2 linked regions of the Caenorhabditis elegans genome follow. The protein of the gene in region 1 purifies or fractionates together with the protein of each later gene. This does not show direct contact. Each region holds a gene or a part of one and is shown in the gene's direction. Other genes may lie near its edges.

Region 1 (7,856 bases):
GCGCTCCATTGCACTTTCGCCATAACGTCTTTTAACGACATTCTAGAAAGTTGATCCAAGAGACTAAGTTGTAGATTATAAAATTCTCTATTCAGTGTGAAAGTGCGCTCTATTGAACTGCTTGAAAAATGTACCAATTTATGATCAAATCCCCATTCGTTGTTGTAGATTTTATTGGCAGCAGCCACACAATCCGCCTGACTTCCAGCGTCCAATCTATCCGAAAATGCACAATGAGCTGAAAAAGCCAAAAATAAATGGGAAACTCAAAAAATAGTGCTCACCGCAAATCAAGAGGATAATTGATTTAAGCATTTTTAAGTTGAAAAAGCTAAAATTTGAACTTTTGGTGGTTTGTATTTATAGGGAATTTTATTTCAGAGTTCATAAAGTTTGCGTAAACGCGATATTTCAAAATTTATTTTCCTGCAAATTCGGTAAGTCGGAAATTTGCCGGTTTGCCGATTTGCCAGAAAATTTCGGCAAATTGCCGGAATTTTTTTCAGGGATTTTTTATAGATGTACATAGAAGCATTCATGGGGTGCGTACAAATTTGCCAATTAAAACTAAATTCTGAAAGTTTTCCGGCAAATTTGGCAAGTCGACAATTTGCCCATTTGCCCGAAATTCTTAATTCCGGCAATTGCCGATTTGCCAATTTGCCGGAACTTTCAATTCCAACAATTTACCGGTTTGCCGATTTTCCGAAAGTGTTCGATTCCGGCAATTTGCTGATTTGCCGATTTGTCGGGTATTTCAATTCCGACAATTTGCCCATTTGCCGGAAATGTTCAATTCCGGCGATTTGGCGAATTTCCGATTTGCCAGTAATTTTCAAAACCGGCAATTTGGCGGTTTTCCTATTTGCCGGAAATTTTCCATACCGGCAATTTGGCGATTTGCCGCTTTGCCGGGTATGACTTTTGCCGGTAAAAGGGCAAATATTAATAACAAAATCAACGTAGAAAAATTAGAGCTTTTAAATGGATATGTATATGCCTGGAGTAGGAATTGCAAGTGCAAATATAGATTTTTAGAAATAAGAGAAATAAAGAAGAAATAAGATTTTTTCGATTCTTCCCAATTTTTCCACAATTTTTTACCGGTCGTTATTTCGAGGGTTACGGTAGCCCCGATAGTATGCAACCACCGACTACAGTACCCCAAAACAGCCGATTTTCACTTGTTTTGTCTGAAAACTCCGGAGTAGGCTGATAAAGCTGGTGTAGACATCGAAAATGAGGATTAGAAAATCTGGAAAATAATTTTAAAAGATGAAATCGAACTTTTTCCAATGACAATGAAACCGCCTGAAATTCAGTTTTCAACTTTGAATTTAGCCTCATATTTGAAAATTTTTATTCAAATTTTTTCTATTTTCAATAAATTATTTGTTAATTTTATTTTAAAATGCAGATTTCTCTTAAAATTGTGCAAAAGTGTGCAAAAGTCCGCAATGTTTATCTTTTGTCTGTGGTGTTTGCGTACAATACACCAGACCCGACGCGCATCACTTATTTTCAACGGATTTTGAAACGAAATTCTTCGATTTTTAGCGATTTTCATTCGATTTTCACCGATTTTTTTGCAAATTTTCACAGAAAAAGTAGCTAAAATTGCAGGGTTAGTGAATTTCATGAGCTCCGCAATTCCGAAGAGCGCCTGGGTCAACCTCTACAAACAATTGCAGAAGGAGGCTGAGAAAGTTGGTTTTTGGCTGGTTTTTCGGCGATTTTGATCTGAAAAAAGCTGGAAAATGCGGAAACTATGCTGAAAAACGAGAAAATCAACAAAAAATTGACGAAATTCGAGAAAAATTCGAAATATTTCGAATTTCGACCTCAAAAAATCAATTTCTTCGATTTTTCCCACAATTTCCCGTTAAAAATTCCGATTTTCTTGCAGATCCCACAGTACAACTACAGATCGTTCTTCCAACGCCGTATCCGTGACCACTTTGTCGCAAATCGCGCAGTTTGTGACGTCACCGAGCAGAAAAAGCTCTACGAAGAGGGTCAGAAGCAGCTGGAGTCGCTGAAACGTCAAGCGATCTTCTGCAAGCTTTATCCACACAATAAGACCATCGTGGAGCAGAAAATCGGTGAATATTCTGGAATTTTCGGCGAAAAATGGACAAAATCGTGAAAATCTGGGATTTTTTCCCAAAAAATTGAGAAATTGCCAATTTTTTAGCTGAAAAATTGCTTAAAAATCGCTGAAAATCAAGGAATTTCAACATTTTCCTCTCGAAAATCTTATAATTGGCAAATTTTTGATCTACACCAATTTCGGCGTCAAAATATGCATTTTTCATGGATTTTCGCCTAACTTCCTCTATTTTTCCTGCTTTTTTAGCGAAAAATCCAAATTTTCTCATTTTTCAGGTCATTAACTCCACTTTCAACCCAAAAATCCACCAAAAACTCCATTTTCAAGATGAAGGAGTGCAAAAAATGCAAGTCTAATGAATATACCAACAAGCAGCTCGTCATGATGATCAATGAATGTGGCCACCCGCTTTGCAAGTGAGAAAACGCCCGGAAAATCGATATATTGGCCGAAAAATTGGAAAAATTCCGACATTTTAGTGTGAAAATCCGTGAAAATCCGTGAAAATCCGTGAAAATCGCAAAATCGCGAGTTTTCTACCTGGAAATTTGGAAAAATTCGACATTTTAGCCCGAAAATGGCAGAAGTTTAGAATAATCTCAGTTTTTGGCAAATTTTTGGCGGAAAAAAACCGATTTTTCCACAATTTTCAACTAATTTCCGCTAAAAATAGCGGGTTCTCTCATTTTTTTTTAAATTGTAAGCCGAAATCCCAAAAAAAAACGATTTTCCCAAGTTTTCAGTAAATTTTCGAATTTTCTGTGCTCAGAAACTGGAATCCCCATGAAATTTCAGTCGGAAATTCGAAGACTAGAGGTTTCTAGCTCAATTTTGAAAATTCTAGCTAGAACCGCGACGCGACCGCAACGCGTGCTGTGAAATTTTGAATTTAACGCTGTCTGTCGAGAAAAAAATCTCGAAAATTGGCATTTTTAGCCAAAAAAAATTGAAATAACCTCGAGGATTTGAGATTTTCTTCAAAAAAATTTAGAAAAAGCTGGTATTTTTAATTCAAAATTCCAAAAAATTCCAATAAATTCCCTAAAACTTCATAAATTTTTGTGACTTGTGTGCTTCTATCATAATTGATGGTTTGAATAGTTGGTATTCTCGGCTGAAACATGCAATAAATACCGTATTCCAGCCAACAATTTGTGCAATAGGGCACATTTGTCACCGGGGATGCGGAAGCTATGCCCAAATTTTCATTTTCCACCCCAAAAACTTGCGATTTTTTCAGAAACTGTGTGGACAACATTTTCGCATTGAATTCTGGCAACTGTCACGTCTGCAACCGGGTCCTTCGAAAAAATAATTTCCGAGAACAAATCTACGAGGATCCACTTATCGATAAGGAGACTTTTCTCCGAAGAAAACTCAGAAAAATCTATAATCTGAAACAGGATGATTTTGAGAATCTTCGAGAGTTTGGAGACTATCAGGAGAGGTAAAATGGCAGAAATCGTCGAATTTTGAGCGAAAAAACGGAAAAAAATGCCTGAAAACTTGAAATTCCAGTGTTTTCAGCTCAATTTTCAGATTCTCCGTGAAATTTCAGCCTGAAAATCGAAAACTAGAACCTTCTAGCTCAACTTTGGAATTTCCAGGGTTACGATAGCGCCAAAAGTACGCAAACACCGACTACAGTACCCCAAAACACCGAATTTCACGCGATTTTCGAATTTTGATCTGAAAATTTAGGAATAGATTAAGAAAATGGCGGAGAATTCGAATATCGTAATGAAAATTTGCAGAAAATTTTTTGAACCGCTGAAATTTCCAGTGAAAATTAAAATTTCGAATTTTAGACGGTTCAAAAATTTTAAGAATTTTTTCTACGAATTTTCGATAAGATATTCGAATTCTCCGTCATTTTCTTGGTCTAATCCTGAATTTTCAGCTCAAAATTCGAAAATCGCGTGAAATTTGGTGTTTTGGGGTACTGTAGACGGTGTTTGCGTACTTTTGGCGCTACCGTAACCCGGGAAATTTCAAAATTGAGCTAGAAACCTCTAGTTTTCAGTTTTCCGACTGAAAGTTTGCGGAGAATTCGAATTTGCGAGATAAAATTGATTTTCAGACAATTTTCAGCTCCGAAATTATAAAAATTTTCAATAATTTCATTTTTTCAGCCCCTCGAATTCAAAATTTCAATTTTTCAGATTCGAGACAGTCGTCTACAACCTCGTATTCGAGACAAACGTCAACGAGACAAATGCCGAAATTCAGGCGTTTGAGGAGAAGCACAAAGAGCAAATCGATCGGAACAAGCGAAGGTACCGCCCGGAGCAACTTTTTATGTGAAAATTCGAATTCTTGAAAATTCCGATTTTTCCAGACTGGATGACGATCAGAAATGGATCGAAGACCAACTTCGTGAGGAGCGAGCGATGAAGGCGAGAATGACGGATCATATGGAGATGGACGCGGTTAGGATTGGGGAAATTGGACGAAAATTAGAAAAAATTCCAGTTTTCGGATGAAAAATCCATAAAAACCCAGCTTATCATCATGATTTTCAGGTTCTCCGTCGAATTTCGGTCAGAACCGCGAAAACTAGAGGTTTCCAGCTCACTTTTGACACTTTGAGGGGTACGGTAGCCCCAAAAGTACGCAAACACCGGCTACAGTACCCCAAAACACCGAATTTCACGTCATTTTCGAATTTTGAGCTGAAAATTGGGTTTTAGACTAAGAAAATGGCGGGGAATTCGAATTTGATAATGAAATTTCAGAATTTTCAATTTCAAATTTGAATTTTCCATAAAAATCTACAAAAACTTTGAGATTTTCCAATTTTTCATTACTTTAAACAGATTTCTTCAAATTTTCGTTTAGAAATTCGAATTCTCCGCTATTTTTTCTGTCTATTCTCAAGTTTTCAGCTTAAAATTCGAAAATTTCGTGAAATTCGGTGTTTGCGTACTTTTGGTGCTACCGTAACCCGCGAAATTTCAAAATTGAGCTAGAAACCTCTAGTTTTTGCAGTTAAGGGTGAAATTTGTGGGGAATTTGATTATGTATAGGGAAATTTGTTAAATTTGAGATTTTTTCCAAAAATTTTGAAATTTTTTCAATTTTTTTTTTTGCAGAAAGAACAAGAAGCCGCCTCCGCAGTCACAGACACCCGGAAAATTATGGACGAACTTCGCGATTCGAATGTGGCGGCCGAAGTAATTCTGGATCGGGAACGTAAAAAGCAAATCGAAAAGGAACTCGAGGAAAAGGAGGAACAGGAGAAACGAAAACGCCGAAATAAGGAGATGTTACAGACGAGAAAACGTGCCGCCGAGAATATGTCGTTTAATACGGTCATTCGTGTTGCCGGAAGGGCTTATGTTCACCAGGTTGGACATGAAAATTCGGAAGAAATCGAAAAAATGCAGCTTTTCCACTCGAAATTTCAGATTTTCAAGTCAATTTTCCGATTCTCCGTGAAAATCCAGTCTTAAATTCGAAAACTAGAGCTCAATTTTGAGTTTTCGAGGGTTACGGTAGTACCCCCGAAACACCCGATTTTATGCGATTTCCGAATTTTGAGCTGAAAATTTAGGAATAGACTAATAAAATGGCGGGGAATTCGAATTTCACAATGAAAATTTGCAGAAAAAGATTTGAACCTCGGAATTTTCGTATTTTTTAAAGAATCCTAGAAAATAGGATCTGGATATCGGAATTTCGAATTTAAAAGCTCAATTTTGAATTCTCCGCAAAATTTCACCCTTAACTGCAAAAACTAGAGGTTTCTAGCTCAATTTTGAAATTTCTTGGGTTACGGTAGCGCCAAAAGTACGCAAACACCGATTACAGTAACCCAAAACACCAGATTTGACGCAATTTTCGAATTTTGAGCTGAAAATTTAGGATTAGACTAATAAAATGACGAGGAATTCGAATTCCACAATGAAAATTTGCAGAGCCGTTCAAATTTCTGCTGGAAATTGAAATTTTGACTTTTAGCCGGTTTAAAAAAAATTTTTAACGAATTTTCGATAAGAAATCCGAATTCTCTGCCATTTAATTAGTCTATTCCTAAATTTTCAGCTCAAAATTCGAAAATCGTGTAAAATCGGGTGTTTTGGGGGTACTGTAGTCGGTGTTTGCGTACTTTTGGCGCTATCGTAACCCGGGAAATTTCAAAATTGAGCTAGAAAGGCCTAGTTTTCGCGGTGTAGTGCAAAATTTTGCGGAGAATTCGAATTTGCTATTGAAAATTGATTTTCAGTCGGAAAAATCTTTAAATTTTTTAAATTTCAATTTTTCAGCCCCTCGAATTGGTTATCAATGGTCCACCAATGCCAAATGTTTCGGAAATCGAGGCTCTCGGCTATCTGGCTCACATTCGACAGCCCACTGCGGTAATTTCCAGCGATTTTCGGCCACATTTCAGCCAAAGATTGGAAAATTTACAGGAATACATTGCCGGCGGCTACACTCCAATGCTCGGATGCTCACGTGCTCTTTTTGAGGCTCGAATCGATTTGTTTTCGTTCTAAATTATTGATTTTTCGGATAATTTTTCGTTGATTTCTGAGCATTTTTGCTCTTTTTTGAGCCGTTTTTTCCCTGAATTTTGGTCATTTTTTGCTCATTTTTGAACATTTTTTGATAGATTGTTCGTCCAATTTTTGTCCTTTTTGGTAGATTTTTTGTTCATTTTTTTTGCTCTTTTGTGAGCTTTTTCTTCTATTTTTTTGCTCTTTTTTGAGCCTATTTAACCTAAATTTCGTCCATTTTCTCTCAATTTTTCCCCTAATTTTTCCCTAGTTTCGGCCTTTTTCAGCTGAATTTTAAGTTTTTTTCTCCCTAATTTTTACCATTTTTTGCTCATTTTGGAGCATTTTTCCCCCGATTTTTGCTCATTTGAGCCTAATTTCCCCTAATTCTGACCATTTTTTTGTAGATTTTCCGTCCATTTTTTGCTCATTTTCGAGCATTTTTCTCCCATTATTTCCCTATTTTTGGCCAGTTTCTCTCAAATTTTGTGCTCTTTTTCCACCCATTTTTTGGTATTTTTTCTGATTTTCTAGGCTTTTTTCTCATAGATTTTCCTCATTTTTTACAAATTAAACGATTTTTCCGTCACTCAAATTTTGTTTCAATTATTTGGATTTTATTGGGTTTTTTAACCAAATTTTATCGATTTTCTCGTCTTTTCCCCAATTTTTTGTTCAAATTCAGCGATTTTTTAACAGTTTTCAGAAGATTTCTCAATTTTTCCTCTAATTTTCAGAACAAAATCACATGGATTCTATGGAAACGGTGTGTCGAGCGATCGACGCATTCTACAGCGGAGGACCCGACGTACAGCCCGCCCAACTTTTTTTGCAGGATTTTCAGGAATCGGTACGCCGGATTTTCGGATTCTACACAAAAAATGAGCCTGAAAATATGAAAACTAGAGCTTTCTAGCTTAATTTTGAATTTTCCCGGGTTACTGTAGCGCCAGAAGTACGCAAACACCGAATTTGAACCGATTTTCGAATTTTGAGCGATTTTTTGTGAAATCTGATTTGAAATTCAATTTTCTTGCCCAATTCTCGTCTTAAACTTCAGTTTTCAACTCAAAATTCAAAAATTTCGTGAAATTCGGTGTTTGCGTACTTTTGGCGCTACCGTAACCCTCGAAAACTCAAATTTGAGCCAGAAACCTCTAGTTTTCGATTTTCCGATTCAAATTTCCTGGGGATTCCGATTTTGACAGTTTCTAAGCACAGAAAATTCGAAAATACACTGAAAACATGGG
Region 2 (4,880 bases), on another chromosome or scaffold:
TTTTTTGTTTTATAATATTCTTGAGAAGCATCATCCGAATTTAAAATGTGTGAAATTATGAAATTTGACCGAAAACTGAAGGTTTTACAGGAAGGATTCGCTACGGCTTTCTTTAAAATGTATCAGAATCGTCAGTTTTTCGATTTCAGTCGTAAAATATGCCATTTTGTAGAGAAAAGTCTGTTTCACAAAAATCCATGTTTGACATTTCAAAATTGTTTTTATTTAAAACCTGAAAAATCGAAAAAATAAGCTTTTAAAGGTGGAGTAGCGCCAGTGGGGAAATTGCTTTAAAACACGCATATGGTACCACAATGACCGAATATCATGATAAAAATTTTTTCTAGATTTTATATGATTTTTTGAAAATTGAAAAAATCTCAGTTTTGCCTAATTCCTATTTGAATTACCGCCAATTGGATTTGTTCGATGGAGCGCGCTTGCACGTTTTTATTTTTATTTATTGTTATTTTTTCTTATTTTTCACCGACTTTTCATGTTTTCAGTGTATTTTTGTCTGAAATTTGAAGAAAAAGTCAAAATAAATGCTATTTTTTGAAATTAATTAATTCGGGTTCGAAATCGCTTAAATGCATTTTTTTAATTTAACGCCTGTAAGCGTGCTGTTTAATCGAAAATTAGCATTTATTTTGACTTTTTCTTCAAATTTCAGACAAAAATACACTGAAAACATGAAAAGTCGGTGAAAAATAAGAAAAAATAACAATAAATAAAAATAAAAACGTGCAAGCGCGCTCCATCGAACAAATCCAATTGGCGGTAATTCAAATAGGAATTAGGCAAAACTGAGATTTTTTCAATTTTCAAAAAATCATATAAAATCTAGAAAAAATTTTTATCATGATATTCGGTCATTGTGGTACCATATGCGTGTTTTAAAGCAATTTCCCCACTGGCGCTACTCCACCTTTAAAAGCTTATTTTTTCGATTTTTCAGGTTTTAAATAAAAACAATTTTGAAATGTCAAACATGGATTTTTGTGAAACAGACTTTTCTCTACAAAATGGCATATTTTACGACTGAAATCGAAAAACTGACGATTCTGATACATTTTAAAGAAAGCCGTAGCGAATCCTTCCTGTAAAACCTTCAGTTTTCGGTCAAATTTCATAATTTCACACATTTTAAATTCGGATGATGCTTCTCAAGAATATTATAAAACAAAAAAATAAAAATAATTTCCTATAGAAGCCAAAAACTGCTGTCCCCGCGAAACGAGTTCCCGCGAATTCTGGAGTTCGTGAGGTGCCGCGAGAGATCGCGTTCTAATAATTATGAACAATTTTTTTGTTAATTTCAGCCATTTCAGCCGTCGAAACAGTCCACGAAACTATAAAAATCGAGTCTCGCCGCACCGTGGCCTGCGAAGGAAATGTCTATTTCGAAGAAACGAACGTCATTCAATTTCCCAAAAATCTGCCGCCCAACGTACACGTGATCACCGCCGCCCAATATGGATCGAATTAAATGTTTATTTATAAATATTCGTTTTTTTTTTTGTTTTTTGTTTTATTATGAAAGTCTAGTGAAAAGAACTAGCTGTTTTATAAATTTATATGTCTCCCCTCTGGCTCCTCTCCTGTGTCTGCATATTGTCGTGAATTTCGCTGTATTTGCGTACTTTTTCTCCCCCGGTTTTCTTCCTTTTTTTTCGTATTTTAGACGAATTTTCAATTTTCCAAAAGAAATGGCGACGAAAGAGCGAAAACGACGCGGAAAATGGGATACCTACAAAGCAGAAGAAGCTCCATCATTGTATTCTGGAAATGCTGACAAGGAAACTAGTTCTGGTAACGCGGGGCTCTTTTCCTGGAAATTTTCGAATTAAAAAATTAAATTTTTAGTTCCAAAAGCTGCCTCGCACAATTTGAACGGAGAAAATGCGTCGTCAGTGATGACTGATGAGTTTGGAGCCAAAGATTATCGAAAGGATATGCCATTGAAAGTATGGAGAAGCTCTAAAAATTCGAAAAAATGGTCTGACAAGCTTGAAAAACCCAGAAAAATGGCAATTTTTACAATTTTTTGGCAAAAAAACCCTAATTTTCATGATTTTTTCACCCAATTTTCAGTAAATTAACGATTTTTCCCCCGAAATATCGAAAATTTGGTTAATTTCCAGGGAAAATCGTAAAAATTACTTTATTCTAAAATAATTTCGGTCTGAAAAATGTAAAAAGTTACGAATTTTTGCTATTTTTTTTTGTTTTTTTCGGTCAAAAAATCGTTAAAAAACACTTTTTTTCGAGTTTTTCAACCCAAATTGGCAAATTTTAATTGAAAATTCACAATTTTCAGGGTGATTTCACTGCAAGACCGCTGTGGGTTGCTCCGGATGGTCATATTTTCCTCGAGTCGTTCAGCCCGGTTTACAAGCACGCCAGGGACTTTTTAATTGCAATTTCAGAGGTTATTAACGTCTTTTTTCAGTTAATTCTGAAAAAAATTCATTTAAAAAAATTTGATTCATCTGAAAAGATTTATTTGTAAAAATTATGTTTGGCCAATTTTTTTTTGATTTTTTAATTTTTTTTTCCGTAAAAAATTCCAAATTAGTGCTTTTCAGGTCAATTTTAGAGGTTCAGCACTTTTTTTTCATGGAAAATGACTGAAAATTTGAGCCTAAAATTAACAAATATTAAATTTTTCCAAAAAAAAAAAATCGAAATTCTGATTTTTCAATTTTTCGATTATCTCTTACACATATTGCCAGAATTGAAAATTTCCGACAAATCGTCAAAGTGTCGGGATTTAAATTTTCCGGCAAATCGGCAACTTGCCGGAATTGAAAATTTCCGGCAAATCGGCAAATTGCCGGTATTGAAAGTTTCCGGCAAATCTGCAAATTGCCAGAATTGAAAGTTTCCGGCAAATCGACAAATTGCCGGAGTTTAAAATTCCGGCAAATCGGCAAATTGCCGGATTTGAAATTTTCCGGCAAATCTGCAAATTGCCAGAATTGAAAGTTTCCGGCAAATCGACAAATTGGTGGAATTGAAATTTTCCGGCAAATCTGCAAATTGGTGGAATTGAAATTTTTTGGCAAATCGGCAAATTGCCGGAATTGAAAGTTTCCGGCAAATTGACAAATTGCCGGAGTTTAAAATTCCGGCAAATCGGCAAATTGCCGGAATTGAACGTGTCTTGTAAATAGCTGATTTGCCGAATTTGACATTTCCGGCAAATCGTCAAAGTGCCGGATTTAAAAAGTCCGGCAAATTGCAGAATTTATCGAGAAAAAAATTTGCCGAACTGCAATCGCCACCCATCCCTGCTACATATTCCAATTTTCAGCCCGTCTGCCGTCCACAACACATCCACGAATACCAGCTAACTGCCTATTCTCTCTACGCAGCTGTATCAGTTGGCCTACAAACAAAAGATATCATTGAATACCTGGAACGATTAAGTAAAAGTCAACTGCCAAAAGGAGTCATCACATTCGTTCAAATGTGCACTGTGAGCTACGGAAAGGTTAAGCTTGTGCTCAAGCATAACAGATACTTTGTCGAATCGCGACATTCCGATGTTATGCAGAAGCTTCTCAAGGACTCTGTGATCCAGTCGTGTATTCTAGATGATCGTGTGCAACCTGCTCAGCAAACCGAGCTTCCTGCACAGGAAAAAATCAAATTCTCACATGGAAATGAGAATGAGAAGGGTGTGGAAAAGGATGGAGCAGCAGCAGACGGTACGGCGGCGGCGGCGACAGATGGAAAAGTTCCAGCTGATATTGATGAATTCTACGGGAAAATCGATGGAGATGATGAGGAAGACGCAGAGATTCGAAATTTGCAACTTCTAACGTTTGAGATCAAACAAGAAACGATCGAAACAGTGCAAAAACGATGTATCGAGCTTGAGTATCCACTGCTCGCCGAGTACGACTTCAGAAATGACACTTTGAATCCGAACCTTGGAATTGATCTGAAACCATCGACTACACTTCGTCCGTACCAGGAGAAATCCCTACGGAAAATGTTTGGAAATAGTCGTGCGAGAAGTGGTGTGATTGTTCTGCCGTGTGGAGCCGGAAAGACGCTTGTCGGAGTGACTGCTGTGACGACGGTTAACAAGAGATGTTTAGTGTTGGCGAATTCCAATGTTTCTGTCGAACAGTGGAGGGCTCAGTTTAAGCTTTGGAGCACGATTCAGGATAAACAGCTTGTCAGGTTTACTAGAGAGGCGAAGGATCCAGCACCGTCGGGAGCCGATGCGACCAAGGTTGGAGTGGAAGGAGTGGAAAAATAATGAAGAATTTTAGAGGAAAATCTGAAAAAAATTGAAAAATTTTCGACTTTTAGATTTTCTGAAAAATCGAAAAATTAACCATAAAAAATAATTGATGAGAAAAAAATTAAAATTTTTTCAAAAAATGAAGAAAATTTCGAGCTAATTTTTGAAAAATCGAGAATTTTCGATTTTTCGATTTTTGAATAATCGGGAATTTTCGATTTTCAATTTTTTGAAAAATCGGGAATTTTCGATTTTTCAATTTTTTGAAAAATCGAGAATTTTCTATTTTTCGATTTTTTGAATAATCGGGAATTTTCGATTTTTCAATTTTTTGAAAAATCGAGAATTTTCGATTTTTCGATTTCAATTTTTTGAAAAATCGAAAAACCGACACCCTTGGTCAGAGTGCCTCATTTCGGTTTGGTCTACGTAGATCTACAAAAAATGCGGCAGAGTTCTCAACCGATTTCGCATGGTTAACAACGTGTGCTTACGTCACATTTTTTGGGCAAAAAATTCCCGCATTTTTTGTAGATCAAACCGTAATTGGACAGCCTGCCACCACGTGAAAATCGAAAAATTGGAAATCGAAAAAGGAAAATTTTTAGATTTTTTTTTTCCA

The links.
Region 2: the proteins of mnat-1 (region 1) and xpb-1 fractionate together in Caenorhabditis elegans (co-fractionation; one large-scale study listed by BioGRID). This does not show direct contact.

Annotation. Positions count from the first base shown.
Region 1 is NC_003280.10:2,472,858-2,480,713, reverse strand, and holds mnat-1 (CDK-activating kinase assembly factor MAT1), read left to right. Parts: upstream 1-2,102; intron 2,103-2,361; 5' UTR 2,362-2,365; intron 2,366-2,384; 5' UTR 2,385-2,385; coding exon of another isoform or gene 2,386-2,393; 5' UTR 2,394-2,437; coding exon 2,438-2,526; intron 2,527-3,350; coding exon 3,351-3,557; intron 3,558-4,272; coding exon 4,273-4,386; intron 4,387-4,448; coding exon 4,449-4,539; intron 4,540-5,202; coding exon 5,203-5,457; intron 5,458-6,375; coding exon 6,376-6,468; intron 6,469-6,522; coding exon 6,523-6,606; 3' UTR 6,607-7,202; downstream 7,203-7,856. Other genes in the region: F53G2.3 (uncharacterized protein), read right to left, coding at 135-238, 285-315; F53G2.12 (Complex 1 LYR protein domain-containing protein), read left to right, coding at 1,638-1,706, 1,907-2,102, 2,386-2,393.
Region 2 is NC_003281.10:11,524,973-11,529,852, forward strand, and holds the start of xpb-1 (General transcription and DNA repair factor IIH helicase/translocase subunit XPB), read left to right. Parts: upstream 1-1,684; 5' UTR 1,685-1,709; coding exon 1,710-1,812; intron 1,813-1,866; coding exon 1,867-1,967; intron 1,968-2,320; coding exon 2,321-2,431; intron 2,432-3,316; coding exon 3,317-4,246; intron 4,247-4,880. Other genes in the region: Y66D12A.16 (Spen family transcriptional repressor), read left to right, coding at 1,323-1,489.